4 linked regions of the Arabidopsis thaliana genome follow. The protein of the gene in region 1 interacts with the protein of each later gene in a pairwise test. Each region holds a gene or a part of one and is shown in the gene's direction. Other genes may lie near its edges.

Region 1 (3,586 bases):
TATCGGTTGAAGATGATTTTAGAGTCAATTATTTTCTTGTTGTTGTGGATATGGCAATTTCTTCGGTAAAGAATAGTTTTGAACAAATGATGACTTTTAAAAGTGTATTTGGATTTTTGTTTGATTTATTGAAATTAAAATCACTTGATGAAGGTGAATTAAAAGAGCATTGCATTATTTTTCACAAAACATTTTCTCATGAGAATGTCTCGGATATTGATTTAAATGATCTTTTTCGGAATTAAAAGTTTTGCAAATGACTTTATACCAAGTGTCAATGACACCTAGTGAAGTGCCTGAGTTTGTAGAAAATGTAGGATGTTATCCCAATGTTTCAATCGCTTATCGAATCCTATTAACAACACCCGTGACGGTGGCTTAGACCGAGAGAAGCTTCTCAAAATTGAAGTTATTAAAAAATTATATGAGGTCCTCTATGTCTCAACAAAGGTTGAATGGTCTAGTTATTCTATGCATTGAAAAAGTTAGTGATGAGGACATAAATTCAAACTGTACTGAAGTTACTCGGGTTCCGACAATGTATCAACCGCCTAGAACAAGGTCCGGTTCAAAGACGATGCGGGAAGAATTCAACAAAGCTGTGGAGAGTTTGATAACCTATAGAGAAATGGAAAACACCATCAATCAATTCGATAATCTCACTCTTTGTAGTAACAAGCTTAAAGAACAAGAAACGGAGTCAACGGAGCAACAAGTTACGGTTACAACTCAAGACTTAAGTGTTGCCCAAGCTTTTGTGATCCAACAAGTGAAAGGCCTCTCCTTAAGACAAACGAAGCCCATGTTCTCTTTGTCATCACTCCAAGGGACGCCATTTAAGGAATGTCCGTAGTGGACGCTTCCAAGGTCGTGAGCTTCCTCTCCAAACTAAGGTATGCATTTAAATCTTCTAATTAGCTGTCAACTTTCCTTTCTTTTGCAGGTTGGGTTGAAATTAGTCTAAGTTTATTTTGTCATTTATTTCTCAATTATTTGTTGCCTTTTTCTTCTCTTTTTCAAGACCCTTGAAGGTCAACGCTGTCGACATATTAATAAGGTCCATTGCAGCCATTGTAGTTCATATTTTTGCTTATTATCAATAAAGAGAGAATTTTCTTTAAAGTGTTTACGAGTTCACCGGTCTTGTGCGGCTTCCCCCTTGATCGTGAGTTCTTTGACTTATTACAATCTCATCATCGATTGTGTGGCGTCTTCGATCCATTCCACCTATTAGCTGAACCAAAGAGAACCGTGTGGTCCTTTGTACCGGCTCCGCCATCTACGTAGAGAGTATCGTGTGGTCATCTACTTGGATCTTATATCAGTTAGTTAGAAAGCATAGACTTTGACACTGTCATTCATGACTTTGCGTTGACTAGAGTTCGTCAAAAGCGTTTCTTTATTTCAAATTAACTATTGTGTTTTATTTTGTTGTTTTAGATCCAATAGAAGAGGATGCATAAGATATGAAGCAATTTAAAGTAATGTGGTATTGATAAATGAAGATATAGAACTTAAAACATGATTATATGAAATGGTTTTTGTTTTAGCATGCTTGAAAAAACTCCTTTTTGTAAGTTGCCGTAAGGCTTCTCGATTGTTTGAGCCGGGACTAAATTTACATGAAAAGATTTGGTTTCGAGAAAGTGTATCAATGAATCGACGACATTAATACATAATTAATTACAGCCAATAAATATGAGCCACTTAACTTCAAAAATACACAAAACTCGATTTCTTTGCGTAATGCGAGGAGAATTAAAAGAGTATTGGGTTATTAATAACAAAATTGTCCAAAACAGCCTTGTGATGTCCAACAAAGGAACGAATATTTTCATTTCCCTGTCCAACAATGACGTCATTTCCTACCTATAAATAAGTTCCACTCGTCCCCCAGAATTCTCGGTTTAAGAGAAAAAGAAACCAAAAGGCAAAAAAGACACAGAAAATTTTGAAACCTAGAAGCTTCTAACAATGGTGGCCGTAGCTGAGAATCAGAAAACGAAGAACAGTCTCAAGTTCCTCTGCAGTTACGGCGGAAGAATCCTCCCTCGTTCTATCGATGGAAAGCTCCGTTACGTCGGCGGTTTCACCAGAGTACTCTCCGTTCATCACTCTATCTCTTTCACAGGTCCGTTTCAATCTTTTTCCCCCCATTCCAATTTCATCTAACTTTTCCAATTCATCGAAATTGATTTTTCTACTTCTCCTTCAGAATTGACGATGAAGTTGGAGGAATTTTGTGGATACTCCGTTGAATTGAAGTGTCAATTACCAAATGGAGATCTCGAGACACTAATCTCCGTCAAATCGGACGAAGATCTGGTGAATATCGTTGAAGAATATGATCGTGTTTACGGAGGCAAGATCCGTGCGATTTTGTCGCCTCCTAAGCAGATGTCACCACGATCTAGCGGCGGCGGTGGAGATCTATCGCCGAAATCGCCGTTCTCCGTCGTGGCTTCTCCATCTCCGCCTCGGTATTGTGTGGCTCCGCCGACGGAGAATCTTCTCAGTAGATTCCGTATGAGAACTGGAGAATACTCTCGTTGCTGTAACTGCCGTGTTCCAAACAGAGACTCCAAGCTTATCTGGCAATAACGTCAGACGGAGAAATAAAAATGGCTTAGAAAAAATAAATGTGAAAAAATGAAATCTAGGGTTTTATGATGTGTTGTTGTATGTGAAGAGAAGGAATTATGAAAATTAGTGAAATTTTGTGGTCGGTGAACAAACGGAGAAGTTGACGGAATATTTTCCCGGCGGTTATTAACCGTTAACTTTGCCGTTAAGATATGTGGGCAACGTACGACGTCAGTTTTATTCAATACGTGGTATGTTGCGACTGTTCCAGACGTGAAACGTGTCGTAGTCAGATGCGAGTACACGTGTGTATTGTGGGGATCAGTGGATGTGTATCCTCACACGTGTACCTCTGTTAGAGTTTCTTATTTTGTTTCCTCAGCAGAGGTTTTGCTCTCCATTCATTGTTTTTGTATTTTGCTAAACTTTCATTTTGTTTTTGTTTGTATATTATATAGATTTATATTGTACATTATTTTATTTTATTTTGTCTTATTTTATGGGTCTAGTCAGGATGACATATATCCAACTAAGTTTTTATTTTCCCAAGAAAAAGAACAAAAAAAAACAGGGAATTATATATAGATCCCAAAAACTATTAATTATTAAATCCCACACTCATAGACAAAAAAAAATAAATTTTTTTTTTTTTGATAGATTGTCAAGTGACCAAAGATCGTAAGAACGCAATTAAGATCTTAACAATATGAATGCATAAACACTGAGGGAGACTGTTTTCTGAAGAAGAATTAATCAAAATTTTATTTTGTTAACAATATGTTAAAATTTGATTTGACCATTTCTCAACAAATTTGATTTACTCGACATCGTTGGATCTAATTGAAGCAAATGTCTTAATCATGTCACTGTGTCACTGAGCCAATCGATCTTCTAACCTTTACAAGTAAAAATTTGGAAAAATAGAAAATGTAGGGCAAGTGGACACTTCTCTAACTTTGGTGAATGGTTAAATGTCAGCATCACTATCACTATAACACACAAG
Region 2 (4,586 bases), on another chromosome or scaffold:
ATCATAGATCACACACGTCACTGTTCTATAAGTCAAACACTTGAGAAAATTGCCAAAACAAAACAAAACCGATGAATCTCTAGTATCTTTCACCTTATCATAAGAATCTGTTATCCAGAATCAGAACAAATTAAGTGAAATAAAAAACAAAAACTGGTAAGAACTATGAGAATCGGAGAATCCAAGTAATCAGATTCAAGGAAACCACGCCAAGGCAGAAATTTCAGAAACCAGAATCACAGGCGAAACGAACAATGGTTGTGGAAGATTCGGATTGCGAACCTGAAAGAAGAAACTTAAAAAGAGGAATCTGAGAAACGATGATCCGATCCGGCGAAGGATTACTAAATGAAGAAAGCCGTGCGGAGATGAGCGGTGAAGTTGTTGGGAACTTGAATGTTATATGTTAGCTTCAAATCTTAAGCTTCTTGTACTGATTTGTACATAATTCAAGTGTACATTGAACTCGTCTCATTTGTTGAAATGTTCCAACCATGTTCTCAAATTTATGAAACTACCCCTTTATTATGTAAATATATAATTTTGGCCCGTTAACTAATGTTTTTCATTATCACACCTAACAATTTCTTTATATTTACGATGAAGTAGTGAAAACACTTTCATTTGCATTCAGTTGGATTTTTTGGTTTCCATATGGAGCCATTTCATATGATACTTACTAATTCAAAGCTAGGAATACTTCATTTATTTGATTTGGTTTCATTTGAACATAATTGGATTTATGTTAGTACATAGTTTCATTTAAAATAATATTCGATTCCATTTTTCTTTTGTGCTTATTAGATTCGAAAAATTTGATTCGTTATAATATTCAAATATTACTACAAGAAAACTATCAATAATAGGACTAACTATATAAGAGGCTCTTAAGTAATCAAAAAGTATGGTCGACATTCGTATAATGCTAAATTCTAGTATATCTAGTGAAATCAAAAGTTTTGGCTAAGATGCATCTTTACCAAAATTCGGTTGATTGACTTGCTCTGCCAAGTACAAACAACCACGAGACACGACTTGATTTATGACTGATCGAGCAACATCGTACCGGGACGGCGGGCCGATTAGTCCATATATATATGGATTATTTAAGAGGATGAGAAAATAATGAACATTTCTAAGTTCTAACACAAAATAATATTGGAAGAAATACTAATCAATGCACATGTCTTCGACAAACAAGGAAAACAACAAAAATTGTTACGTGAATTTGACAATATAAATATTGTTCTTGTACGACCATGATTGCACCTTCGGCATGCTAGTGAAATACGTCTATTATAAGTTTGAATAATTACAACAATTTCACCGTTTATAATAAGGTGCAAGTTGGCAATAATCTAAGGTATATAATAATAGCAAACAATCGAGAAAGTGAGTATACACTCACCGGTGTCAAATTTAAATTATCTTATATTCTTGATGTTAATTTAACATAACAATTTTTTTTTGTTGACCCTTTTACAGTTTTCTTCTGCATGTTGACAGACTAAAAAACATCTATCTTCTAGAACTAACCCAAAGACTATTCGGATGTGTAATACAGTTGATGAATGATGATGATTCAAACATTCAAATATTTGTTATACACAAAAGAAATCCAATAACACAATCATAAAACATATCTAAGCCTGATCAGGCGAAAGATCGACGACAACGACTTTTGTTTTTCCCTTTTTCTTAACTATTTATTTATCACTTAACCTTAAAAATATTGCTTCACTAATGTTGATTTAACAAAATATTAAGAAAAAACATGTAAAAGGCTAAAAGCTGGCCTCTTTCAACGTCGAAGTATCAAAACACTAGTGTTGGGCCCATTCACAGTGTCCCCAAAAGTCATATTAATCCATGGAGAGATTCAGCTAACGTCACAGAACCGTCACATAATCTCATCACCGCCTTAAAACTCATAAAATCTGACAGGCCACGTGTAAATGAGCAATAAGTTCACGTACTCATTTTCCAACACCACCATCACCGATACATAATAAAAACCATTTCATCACAACAGTCTTCTTCATTTCTTTCTAATTTCTTCTCTTCATGAATTAAGCCAAACCAACAAAAAAAATCATTTAATTTTCGCGGAGAGATGGAGAAATTCTCGTACAACTCTTATCCAGATTCAACCGACTCGTCACCGAGATCTCGTGAGATCGAATTCGATAACCCGCCGCCTCCATGGGATGATCAGAACCAGAACCAGCAGCAACATAGCTACAAGGTGAAGTTTATGTGCAGCTATGGCGGCAAGATTCAGCCACGGCCTCACGATAATCAGCTCACTTACGTAAACGGAGAAACGAAGATTCTTTCCGTTGATCGCGGGATTAGATTCCCTGTTTTAGCTTCCAAACTCTCCACCGTATGCGGCGGCGGTGATGGCGGCGGAGGAGAAGTTACGTTTAAGTATCAGCTTCCGGGAGAAGACTTAGACGCTTTGATCTCGGTTACGAACGATGATGATCTGGAGCATATGATGCACGAGTACGATCGCTTGCTTCGTTTGTCGTCTAAGCCAGCGAGGATGCGTTTGTTTCTCTTCCCGGCTTCTTCTGGATTTGGTTCTCAAAGTTCGACTCAATCGGATCGAGATCGCTTCGTCGAGGCGTTGAACACTGTTCCTAGGCTATCTGAATCGGAGAAATCCGTAACTGCTCCTCCGAATAATGCGGATTTTTTGTTTGGATCGGAGAAAGTTGCAGCTCCGCCGCCGCCACCACCGGCTGAGGTGAAATTACCGGTTCCTGTGGCGTTAGAACCGCCTTTGTTTAACGATCCGCGTGTGATTCAACCGGATCACGTCGTAAATCCGATGGAAATTCAAAGACAAATGCAGGAATTTCAGAGGATGCATATTAGGGATCAAGAACAACAACAACAACAGGAAGCTGTATACAGAAGGAAGAGTAACGAAGACGGTTTAATAGAAACCGGAGGTGGATACTTCTCTCCACCGTACATACAAAATCCTGCGCCACCACCGCCACAGCAGACGATTCCTCAAACGAATCCGCAAGCTCCTCCGATGACGACTTTCTGGCAAGGAAACCACAATCCAGGAGTCGTATTTCCAACAACCACACATGGATTAGGATTACCAGAGCAACCAGTTTACATGATCCCATCTCCATCTCCATCTCCGGTGTACCACGCGCCACCACCACCGCAACCGCAAGGTGTCATCAGACCAATACTTACAGGACAAGTAAACCAAGGCGGCTACTATCCTCAGGTACAGAGAGTGGCTTCAGATACTTACAGAGAACCACACCAATCACCGTACAACGTGGCTCAGCCACTTCAGGCACCTATAGGAACAAAAGCAGCACAACAACAACAACCTCCTCCTCCTCAGCCTTTTACCTCTGGTCCTCCACCACCGCAATACACCGCAGTACCACCGCCACGACAAGTAGTAGGATTACCAGATACATCAGCGTATACTCAGGTGACTTACACTGGAGGAATGGGGAAACAAGTTTATTACACGGAGGCTCCACCGCCGCAGTACCATGGAGTTGGCTTACCTGTAACTGGTATGAGTGAATTGAGAACTGGACCGGACGGGAAGCTTGTTGCTATGAACATGGCACCTAAAGTTTCATCTCAGAGTTCAGATTCGGCTGTTTGATTGATGAGGTATTTCATATGGTTGAATCAGATTATTGTTAATCTATTACAACAAATTTCATCATCTTTTATATATATATATATATATAGTGTAATTAAGATCACTTTGGTGTCTGATAAATAATGTTTTTTTCTTTTTCCCTTTATCTACTTGTTTATTTTATCTTATGATGATGTTCTTGATTCTGCAACTTCCATCGCGTTGCTTAAATCCAGTCTATTGTGCATTTGATTGCATTTATCTGAGAACCTTTTAAGCCATTTTACCTTTATTTTTCTTTTCGCCATAATAAGCTGAACTCCTTTTTTCTATCCAAGTGGTGTAGTTGTCCTTCGGCCATAATATATATGGGTTGTTCCACATGAAAATCATTTTGTTGTGGAAGATAGAACATTTCAAAATCAATAATTGGCTTCTTTGTAAAGAGATAAATATACACTCTCTCGTATGTGACCAGACTTTTAGTTAAATGGTCTACTAGAAGTTCTCTGCGTCATCTTAGCTACATTTAAACCGAATTTTCTACAATATATGATTTTAAAATATAAACTGGTCCAAAGAAAACTATCTATCAAACTCAGGGACAGGTGTTATGGGAAAGGATATTATTAGACTACGAGTTTTGAACTTTTAAGAATCCTTACAAAGAAAAGTCATATAGCTTTAGTCACTCACTTATCGGCCATGTCATAAACTTATTTGTTGCATCCTTCCCGAATCAATAAACGACACTTTAAGTATGTATATGAATCACCATCAACATCATCACGGAATACAATGCATCAATCGAAACAGAAAACCCCCCTATTAAATTATGATATCTAAAACAGGTGTCTCTTTTACACTAGTCTATGTCTCAGGTAAGTCTCACTTTATCAATTTTTGGATCATTTTGTACTCTGTCAACGCATGAATTCCCGAATTTGATTTT
Region 3 (4,806 bases), on another chromosome or scaffold:
CAGCCTCTAGAATAGAGGCCAAACCTACATTACCACCATTCTCTGAGGGTACAGATGAGATGTATTTACTTTGTTTGGATCCAAGCATCAATCTGGAGTAGAGGTAAATATGCCTGAGGATAAAGTCCAACTTCTTGTGAAAACCAACTGGGAGCCAGTGCAGCCACTCATTTAGTCCTCCTTTAGGCCTTGTCACTCGCTTGCATAAAGAAAAAGAGATAATCTCAGCTAACCAAAAATCATGTTAAATGTAAATTTACGTGAATGTCGAGTCTATGAATGATCAAGAAGCTAGAGAAACCAGACACAGCAAAACAGCCTTATATGCATCCAAACTGATCTAAAAGAAGCATTAAAGACTCCACTACCAGTGTTCCTTGTAAACGAAATTCAGTAATTGCACCAGCATCATGCTCCACCAATGATTCAATTCTCTTTAAGATTTACCAAAAAAAATTATAAATAAAACTGACAATATAGGTAGTTATGACACCCCAAGAACCTTCCACTGTTTACCCTAAATTTGCAGAACTTGAGATATTGGCAAATTTACATATTTACCAATTCATTGTTTCCATAAAAATTCAAATAGTTCCTCCTTCTCTGAACATTCATACACTCTAAAGAAGTACTAAACAATATGAAATTTCCACTCCTACTTAGACTGAGACCTAACAAGCTAAAAACCTAGAACACACGACGAAACAACAAAGTAAAAGAAACTCCTATCCAAAAGCAATCATCAATCTCTCAACTACATCATGCGCCTAGCAAAAACTGACGAGAATTTCGAGTATAGTATCAATGGTTTATAGTCGACGAAATGAAAGCACTAAGCAGATGCTAAAAACGTCTAGAGCCTAGATCAAAGAAACTCACGTAGAGAAGGTGATTATCAGATAAGCCGAGCGCACGAACGAGACCGATACACTGATTCTCGGAGCCAGGGAAACCGTTTCCGATGACGACGGCGCGTCTGACGACGTTATGGGAACCGCCTTGTTCGAAAATATCAGGGACGCCGGTAGATAGACTGGGTGGATCCGGCAATAGGATTGGCCTCATGCCGGTTAGATTATCGATTCCGATTCCGATCAAAAACCCTAGAGGAACCACACCGAGATTTGGGGGGATTGATCTCAACTCCGTAGAGAGAAGGTCGTGGTGCTTTGACAAGTTGCGAAAGGTCACAGAAAGAGAGATTGTTTTCCTTTTCTCCTTCAAGAGATTGTCTTTACGCTAAAATTTGGTATAACAATTAACAAAGGACAAATTTAAGGTCTTAAACGAATTTTTTGCTAATCAATAAAACTAATTTTGTCAATACAAAACATACAATTGTTTAAAAAAAAAGAAATTGTATGGTATTTTAAAAATTTTGATTTTAGAATTTGAAGTTTTGGAATTTTGTTTTGTTATATGATGATTAAAATTAAAATTTCACCGATAGTCATCCAAAATTAGAATAAAACACTATTTGTCACATAATTGCTGTTTTTCTAATTGTCTATTCAAATCTTATGAACCTCTTCGTAGGCCCAATATGTAGAATTTGATTGTTAAAAGGTGAAGCCTTATCTGGAAAAAGCCCAACTGTTATTGTTCTTCCTGTGCCTCGTTTTGTCTCGGTCTAACTTTTTTACACACGACTTTACCAATCATAGTATTCAAAGAAATCTAGCGATCTCAAGACTCCGAGTGTCACGATAGAGAATATGAAATTGCAGAAATGATTCAATATAATTATATATCTTAGCTGTTGTTAACACGTTAGATGTTGAGTTTAGGAAATTAATTTATTGGGTATTTTCATACTATTATATTCATAGGTAGCTATAACGATGATAAGATAATTTAATGTGTGCAGGTTGTAAACAGTTAGGAATATGAAATAATTCAACTATATATTATAATCATCTCGTGGAAAACAGGATCGATTGCACATGATTCATTGGAGACAAGAATCGTTAAGGTGTTCACACATTACGTGTCTTTGTTATATTGGGGTTACAAAGATGCATTCATATGATGTAGTATTATCTTGAGATCTCCAGAAAACAAACCGCATTTGAATCACAAAATGGATCTACCACCCAAAATACTACCAACTCACAAATATCCTTTGACCATTTCGACTCGTTTTGTTAATGATTCTTGTAAAGGTTGCAATATAAAAGGTCCCATCTATGGCGGCTACCGTTGCAACGAGCCTTCCTCTACTAGTTTGTTCTTCCACAAAGAGTGCGCAGAGGCTCCACCGGAGATTATCAACCATCCTTCTCATCCTCAACACACTCTTAAACTCCACAATTCTCTAAGGAACCCATGTAAATGTAATCTATGTGGCAAGACTTTTTTCGCTTTTGGTTATCGTTGTTCATCAAAATGTGACTTCATCGTGGATCTCACTTGTGGGATAAATCCATTGCCGGTTTCTATCGAACATCCAAAGTCTCATCATCATCCAGTTATCTTCTTGAAAGAACCCGCAAAGCCGGGTAGGCGCAGATGCGGAATTTGCAAGGGCTATAATGGTGGATGTTCTTATGCATGTCTTGAATGTGAAGTCCACTTTCATGTCGAGTGTGTCAATCTTTCCCAAGAGGTGAATCATCCTTCTCATCCTCAACATTCTCTCAAGTTACTTGAATATGAATCACTAACAAGTGATGCTGAAGAGACATGTCTTTTATGTGGAGAACGACCAGACAAAGTGCTTTATCGCTGCTCGATATGCAACTTCAGCGTATGTCGATTCTGTACAAAAGATCCACCACCACTTGCTATCGAGCATCATAAGACGCACGAGCATCGACTTGTCCTCTTATCAAGACTCATCTCATTTGAATGTAATGCTTGTGGGATGCAAGGTGATCGAAGTCCTTACATGTGTGTTCAATGCGGGTTTGTTGTCCATAGAACTTGTATTGACTTACCACGTGTCATAAACATCAACCGTCACGATCATCGCATCTCTTTCACCCATCATCTCGGTGTTGGGTACTCGAGATGCGGTATTTGTCGCAAAGATATAAGTCAATACCATGGGGCTTATTTATGCCCTCGTTGCCCGAACTATGCAGCTCATTCACTATGTGCAACAAGAAAAGACGTATGGGATGGGGTAGAACTCGAAGGGACACCAGATGATGATGACGAAGATATTGTGCCGTTCAAAGTGGTGGGTGATAACTTGATCAAGCATTTCAGTCATGAAGAACATAATCTAAGACTCAACAAGGACAATATCAATCGTGACGAAGGCTCACGTTGTGAAGCATGCGTCCTTCCTATCTATTCCGATCCGATCTACAACTGTGAGGAATGTCGTTTCATTCTCCATGAGAAATGCGCTAATCATCCAAAAAAGAAACGACATGTATTCCACACAAAACCATTCACACTATGGTCCAGACCACCTCGTACATTCCATAGCAAAGATTTTAGATTCTACGATGTCTTTCGCTGCTATGCTTGTAGAACGAAGTCTACTGGTTTCAGGTACGTTTCTGATTGGTGGGTTCTAGATGTACGTTGTGGTTCGCGTTCTGAACCGGTCATTCATGATGGTCACAGACATCCTCTATATTACGAACATAAGAAAGATCACTGTTGTGATGCATGTTATAAAGAGATAGATGGTTATCTGCTTTCCTGTGACACTTGTGACTTTGATCTGGATTTACACTGTACTGATTTACCAAAAACGGTAAAGCACAGCTGCGACAATCATCCTCTTTCCCTATGCTATGGCGAAAATGCAACCGGAAAATATTGGTGTGATATTTGCGAGGCGGAAACAGATCCAAGTAAGTGGTTCTACACTTGCTCTAAATGTGTGGTTACTGCACATATTGAATGTGTGCTTGGAGACTTTTCACGTCTCATGCCAGGACGCATCATCAACTACAATAATGTTAGAGTTGAAGTGGTTCTTAACAGCTATAGTTCTCGCCCCTTCTGTGCAAAATGTCACTCCAGATGCAGAGCTCCTATCATTCTAAAGCTTTGTGATCCATATACTGGATACATTTGTTCCGATGCATGTGTAGTGCCCGACTATCAATACAGCTAAGACAACTATGTAGCTGTTTATTTCACTCTATTGTTTCTCGTAATTTTTTGGATGTAAGAGTTTATTTCCAACTACAAGTGCTAAGCATTCTGGTTATATTCATACTGTGTTCATCAGTACAGGCAGGATTAAACTGTATCGATGACATATATAAAGTCGTAACAAGTTATGACAAACTTGCTAAAAAGGTAGTAGCAACTAATATGATTTAGTTAATGAAAACATAGACAGAAATGATGGAAACAGATATTTGTGAATCAGAAATGTTATTAAACAAAGATGAAAACTGAAGTAATTTTAACAACAAAAATAACGAATATGTGATGTACATTGCAAATGCAAAAATTATAAAGACACAGCGGATAAAGTTTTGGAAATACAGAGAACAAACTCACTCACGTGACTAAATCTAAAAGACAAGGCAAGAGTTCAATGAACCTCTGTATCATTTTGATTTTGACATTTACAAGAGTTACATAAGCAAGGAGGACCATGACATGTAACTTCAAACTCACAGTCATTTTCATGACAAAACCAAGGCTTCAAATCGAAATGATGCGACTGAGTTGATTTACAAAAACAGTGGTCCGTTTCAGTATACCTTAGATAAGGCCGCCAGATTTTAAGATCTGCATGATGGTAAAGTGATTCCTCCGCAGAAAGATGCGATTATTATGTACAGCAAGAAAACTATCAAGCATGTCAACAAGACCCTGCCGAACACAAACAAG
Region 4 (5,110 bases), on another chromosome or scaffold:
CCAATTAGTAGGCCTGCTGTCAAATAATGTGACCCACAACTTCTTTGATTCCTTAATTACAACTTTTGATTAGTAACGCTTATAATGTCTCACCTTTTACTAATCAAAGTAATTACGAATCAGCTTTCCATAATCATATCATCGTCCAATTTTATTCATTACTTTGCTTTAGGAAACTCTATTCATCTTATTCCTTTCTAAATTGTTGATTAAAGTGATTTGAAAAGGTAATAATCTCGTGCATTTGTTGCTAATGTGCCAAAATATATTTGTTTTGGGGTTATTCACCATTTTCATGTGACCTTGTTGTATGTTATAACTTATAACCGTTGGGTTTTTTTTATAACTCTTTTTGGTAATATTATATATTTATATATATTAATATACAGTAGTAGTAGAAAACTAAATTATCATCAGTTTGTTGCTTTTCTTTAACAAAATAACCAATTAACTAATTAAATTATATTAACATTGTTTGACTGTTTGTAGTGGGTATACTAGTTTACTAAATAAAATATTTTTGTCACCAGCCGTACTACAATAGCCTAATGATACGTTAAATTTAATCATATTTGCGATCATTATATTGTGAGTTTTTACATTCTAACTAATAACAAAAAAATACTACCTTTGTATTAAAAGGTAGGATGTTTTAGCTAAAATGCATACACTTGAAAAAAATAAATTGTTTTTGAAAAGAAGTATTAAATAATTTAATTCAAAAAAATTCAGCCAATGATATAAAGGCTGCATAATACAAATGGTCATAAAATATCAAAATATTTAAAATTTGCATAAAAATTGGTAAAAAGTATATATTATTTTAAAATTTTTCTAAAACATCTTATAATTTGATATAAGGGAAGTAGTGTTTATGGAAAATCCCGACATATATGTAACCACATTTATGGAATCTCCGTCTCTCAATTTCCAGTTAGCTCACATACACAAATTGTATTTACTCGTTGACAAACGGTTTATATAGTTGATAATGCATTAGATGTATCCATAAGAAAGTCGACAAAATAACATTGAGGCGATCATTATAGTGTGAGTTTTTATTTCCTAACTAATAACAAAAATTTTAAGATAGTGATAAATCTTACTCTCTTTGTATTAAAATATTTTTTTAAAAAATAATTATTTAATATTTAATTCAAGAAAATTTGTCAATGATATAAAAGATTGCATAATAAAAATGATCATAAAATATCAAATGTATTTAAAAATTTGTAAAACATGATATATATTTTAAAAAAAAATCCTAAAACATCGTATATTTTGATATAAAGGAAGTAATGTCTATGAAAAATCCCGACACGTATGTAACAACATTTTTGAGAACTCGGTCTCTCGATTCGCAGTTAACTCGCATACACAATTTATACTTACTGCTTGACGGATGGTTTATATAGTTGATCATACATACATCCATTTGAAAGAGCATGTTGGTCTTAATTGCATCAAACATTCTTATCAACACAAAATGATATACATGGCATCAGATAAACCATCACGAACAAATACAATTTTGAAAGGTAATACACACAAATTCACTAACACTATTAAGGTAATACACACAAACATTCTTATCAATTTCATGATTTTCTATTAAAATGTCATTATAAAAAAAAAAAAACTGAAAGAAATTGGACTGAAAGAGAAATAAATTTAACCATAATTGTTTGGTAAAAATAGTAAAATATGCCAAAAATGAGATTTAAGAGGAAAATAAAAAGAAGAAAAAAAAAACAGCTGTAGTCTACATTTACATACAAGTCGTGGACTAACAGCTATACTACTACTAAGTACTAACTCTTTCTCTCTCTAAATATCAAATTCAATTTAATTTTTCTTCTGCAAATGGAACCACCGCCTTCTTCTCTGTCCTCCACCGCGGTGGCTTCCACCTCCATCTCCGCCGCCACTGCTCCTGTTCCTCCTCCTCTACCTCCTCACGTGACTTCTTCTTACCCCGAATCTCTCGACTCCTCCCCTCGTTCTCGCACCACCGATGGCTGGGATGACCTTCCTGCTCCTTCTGGCGGCGGCGGTGGCGGTGGTGGTAGCGCCGTCTCTTCTAAACTTCGTTTTATGTGTAGCTACGGCGGTCATATCCTTCCTCGCCCTCACGATAAGTCTCTCTGCTACATGGGCGGTGACACTCGCATCGTTGTCGTCGACCGTAACTCCTCTCTCCCTTCTCTCATCGCTCGTCTCTCCAACACGCTTCTCGACGGTCGTTCCTTCACCCTCAAGTACCAGTTACCTAGCGAAGACCTTGACTCTCTCATCTCCGTCACTACCGACGAAGATCTCGACAACATGATCGAAGAGTATGACCGTACCATTTCCGCTTCCAATTCCACCAAACCTTCGCGTCTCCGGTTGTTTCTATTCACCTCCAAGCCTGAGGCTACTCAATCTATGGGTCAGATCCTTGAGAGCTCTGCCAAGAGCGACGATTGGTTCCTCAACGCACTCAATAGCGCCGGTCTTCTCAATCGAGGATTCTCAGATTCTGATACTAACGTCAATCGTTTACTTGGTTTGGATGATGCTCTTGCTCTCCGTTCTAATTCCGGTGACAACAACAATCGAGATGGTGATGATGGCTCTGTTAAAAGCGCCAAGCAACAGCAACCTCCACCGCCGCAGCAGCAAGAACAACAGCAAGGAGGCCAAGATGTGAACTGCTTACCGGATTCTCCGATGTTAGATACATCCTCTTCTTTCGGCTCCACTTCTTCGTCTCCCTCGCTCGCCAATTTGCCTCCGATCCGTGTCCATGTAGAGGAACCAGGCGGAGTAAGGACTTTGCCAGATCAGAGAAATCTGGGAATTGAAGAACAGTTCGCACGATTCAACGTCGGGAACAAGCATCAGCTACATGACGACGGATTTGCTGCGATCTCTTCACCACCGCCGATGCCTGTCACAATCGCCCTTCCTGCTGCGCCTGTGACTGCAGCCACCGTCTCTAATGAGTTCCAGGCCAGGGTTTACTCAGATGACGAGAGATCCGATCACGGCGTGCAGGCTGGATACAGGAAGCCTCCGACTCCGCGATCGCAGCCGCAGAATCTACCGCCTCAGCAGGCTCATCAGCTGAAATCAAATAGCGGTGGTGGACACGAGCTGCCATCACCCAATTCCGTTTCCAGGTACTCTTTCTTCTTATATTGGAACCCTCATGAGCCTTAATTTGATGCTATAGAAGAACTAAGATTGGTCAGAACTCTGATTGTGTGTTTGCTATATAATGAATGCCTCAGTGATAGCAGTATGAGCAACCCAATGTTTCACCAAAGACCATCTGTCTATCAAGAACCAATTGCTCAGATACCTTCTGGCTCTACCGTTGTTACTGGTATGATCAATCCCTCAGATCCAAGCACACTTTTGTCACAGCATCAGAATCAGGACCCAGCCTATATCCTTCACCCCCAGTTTGAGCAACAATCTGCACAATCTCAGCCACAGCAGCAGTTCATACACACTGCTGCTCCTCCTCAATACATTCATCACCATCCGTCTAGCGGCCTTCCTGTCCCGACTTACATCCAGGTTTACCCTTCGCAACAGCCTCAACAGTCCTTCCATCAACACGCAGGTCGACTGGATCAGCAGCCTTATCCTGTTTATTATGTCACTGCTCCTGTCCCACCTAGGCCCTACAGTATGCCTGTGCCACAATCTCCAAGTGTGAGCGATGCTGCAGGGTCTATCCCCTCTAACCATCCCAACTCTACCATGATGCCTCCACCTCCTAACAACCACATGAGAAGTGTTAGCAGTGGCAAACCTGAGATGGGACAGGCTGGGGTTTACACAACAGCCCCAGGTGTGGGCGGTGCTCAGATGGTTCACCAGATTCCCACAAACCAGCAGCAATTCATGGGGTATTCGCAGATCCGTCACCCTCCTCAGTCTGGTTCAGCTGGGAATCCAAACTATGGATATGAATATGTCGACAATGCTCATACACAGATATACTACACTCAACCTATGGGACATGCACAGTACCAGACAATGACTGGGCCTCCACCTGCCATGGTGATGCCTGATGGTTCTGCTGCTGCTAAGCTTCCAGCTGAGAACATGACTCAACAGATCCGGAGTTCACAGCCATTGTGACACACACAAGGAACACATGAAGATGAACCACAAAATTTTGGAGGAAGAAAACCCCGGGTTGGTTTTTAAACGTATAAATATATAACTTTTACTTCTTTTTTCTTCTCTTCTTTTACAAGTTGCTGCATCAAAAAAAGAGTCTGGTGTCATGTTAAGTTTGGTATTATGGGTTGTGTTTAAAAGTGTTGTGTGAGTAAATTAAAAAAACAAATAAATAGTGCTTCTTGGTGGGATTTTACATTATATAGTTGCAATTGATACATGTAGTGCTTTACCATTTTCCTGGATCTTATATCATATTATTATCATTCATTTCATTTTGTAAATGTATCACTTTTTTGATCATCATCTCTCTATCTTGTTTTTTCAAGAGACTTTGAAGGCTATAATATTGTTCAGAAAGATTCTGAAATGTTATGTATAACATTTAATATTTGGAAGAATGTATGTCTGGCTTCTTGCTATCCATGGGAGCATAGGTACAGATATTAAAACATGTGTGTGGTCTTGCAAAAGTACACACAAACCCTACAACTTCTAAGAGACAAGGTGTGGGTGAAAAAGGTAGTGACAAAATCGATCTGTCTTGCAATTTAGCAACACAACTATCTCTTTTGAAAGAGATAGGCATTTGTATCTTTACCTAAACACCAAACCCAGTCCTTTTTATCTCTCTCTCTATACATGACTCAAAGATATTTTACTCTTGCACTACACTATTCTCTCATAAGCAACACAGAGCCTCACTTTGAATCGAGTTGTCAATAGTCCCAGATAATATTTCTGCAGTGTTCACAGAGTTGAGATGTGACTTTGTGCATCAGAAGCATTGGCAGACCTGGTTGGATTACAAGATCTGAACCAAATCTCTCTCTGTGGTCAGCTCCCCATCCCTTGCTTCAAACCAACTGGATCTTAATGGGTTTTTCTTGTCTTATGTCTCTTTCATGTCTGCAATTCTGTCTTTTTTTCT

The links.
Region 2: the proteins of AT3G48240 (region 1) and AT5G64430 interact in a two-hybrid assay, tested with the Arabidopsis thaliana proteins (one large-scale study listed by BioGRID).
Region 3: the proteins of AT3G48240 (region 1) and AT5G22355 interact in a two-hybrid assay, tested with the Arabidopsis thaliana proteins (one large-scale study listed by BioGRID).
Region 4: the proteins of AT3G48240 (region 1) and PDE331 interact in a two-hybrid assay, tested with the Arabidopsis thaliana proteins (one large-scale study listed by BioGRID).

Annotation. Positions count from the first base shown.
Region 1 is NC_003074.8:17,865,407-17,868,992, forward strand, and holds AT3G48240 (Octicosapeptide/Phox/Bem1p family protein), read left to right. Parts: upstream 1-1,724; 5' UTR 1,725-1,974; coding exon 1,975-2,131; intron 2,132-2,215; coding exon 2,216-2,601; 3' UTR 2,602-3,054; downstream 3,055-3,586.
Region 2 is NC_003076.8:25,761,609-25,766,194, reverse strand, and holds AT5G64430 (Octicosapeptide/Phox/Bem1p family protein), read left to right. Parts: upstream 1-1,774; 5' UTR 1,775-2,113; coding exon 2,114-3,655; 3' UTR 3,656-4,035; downstream 4,036-4,586.
Region 3 is NC_003076.8:7,399,682-7,404,487, forward strand, and holds AT5G22355 (Cysteine/Histidine-rich C1 domain family protein), read left to right. Parts: upstream 1-2,025; 5' UTR 2,026-2,080; coding exon 2,081-4,075; 3' UTR 4,076-4,291; downstream 4,292-4,806. Other genes in the region: ELM1 (fission ELM1-like protein (DUF1022)), read right to left, coding at 1-199, 880-1,065; VAMP714 (vesicle-associated membrane protein 714), read right to left, coding at 4,698-4,788.
Region 4 is NC_003071.7:113,160-118,269, forward strand, and holds PDE331 (Octicosapeptide/Phox/Bem1p family protein), read left to right. Parts: upstream 1-1,766; 5' UTR 1,767-1,863; coding exon 1,864-3,164; intron 3,165-3,275; coding exon 3,276-4,137; 3' UTR 4,138-4,591; downstream 4,592-5,110.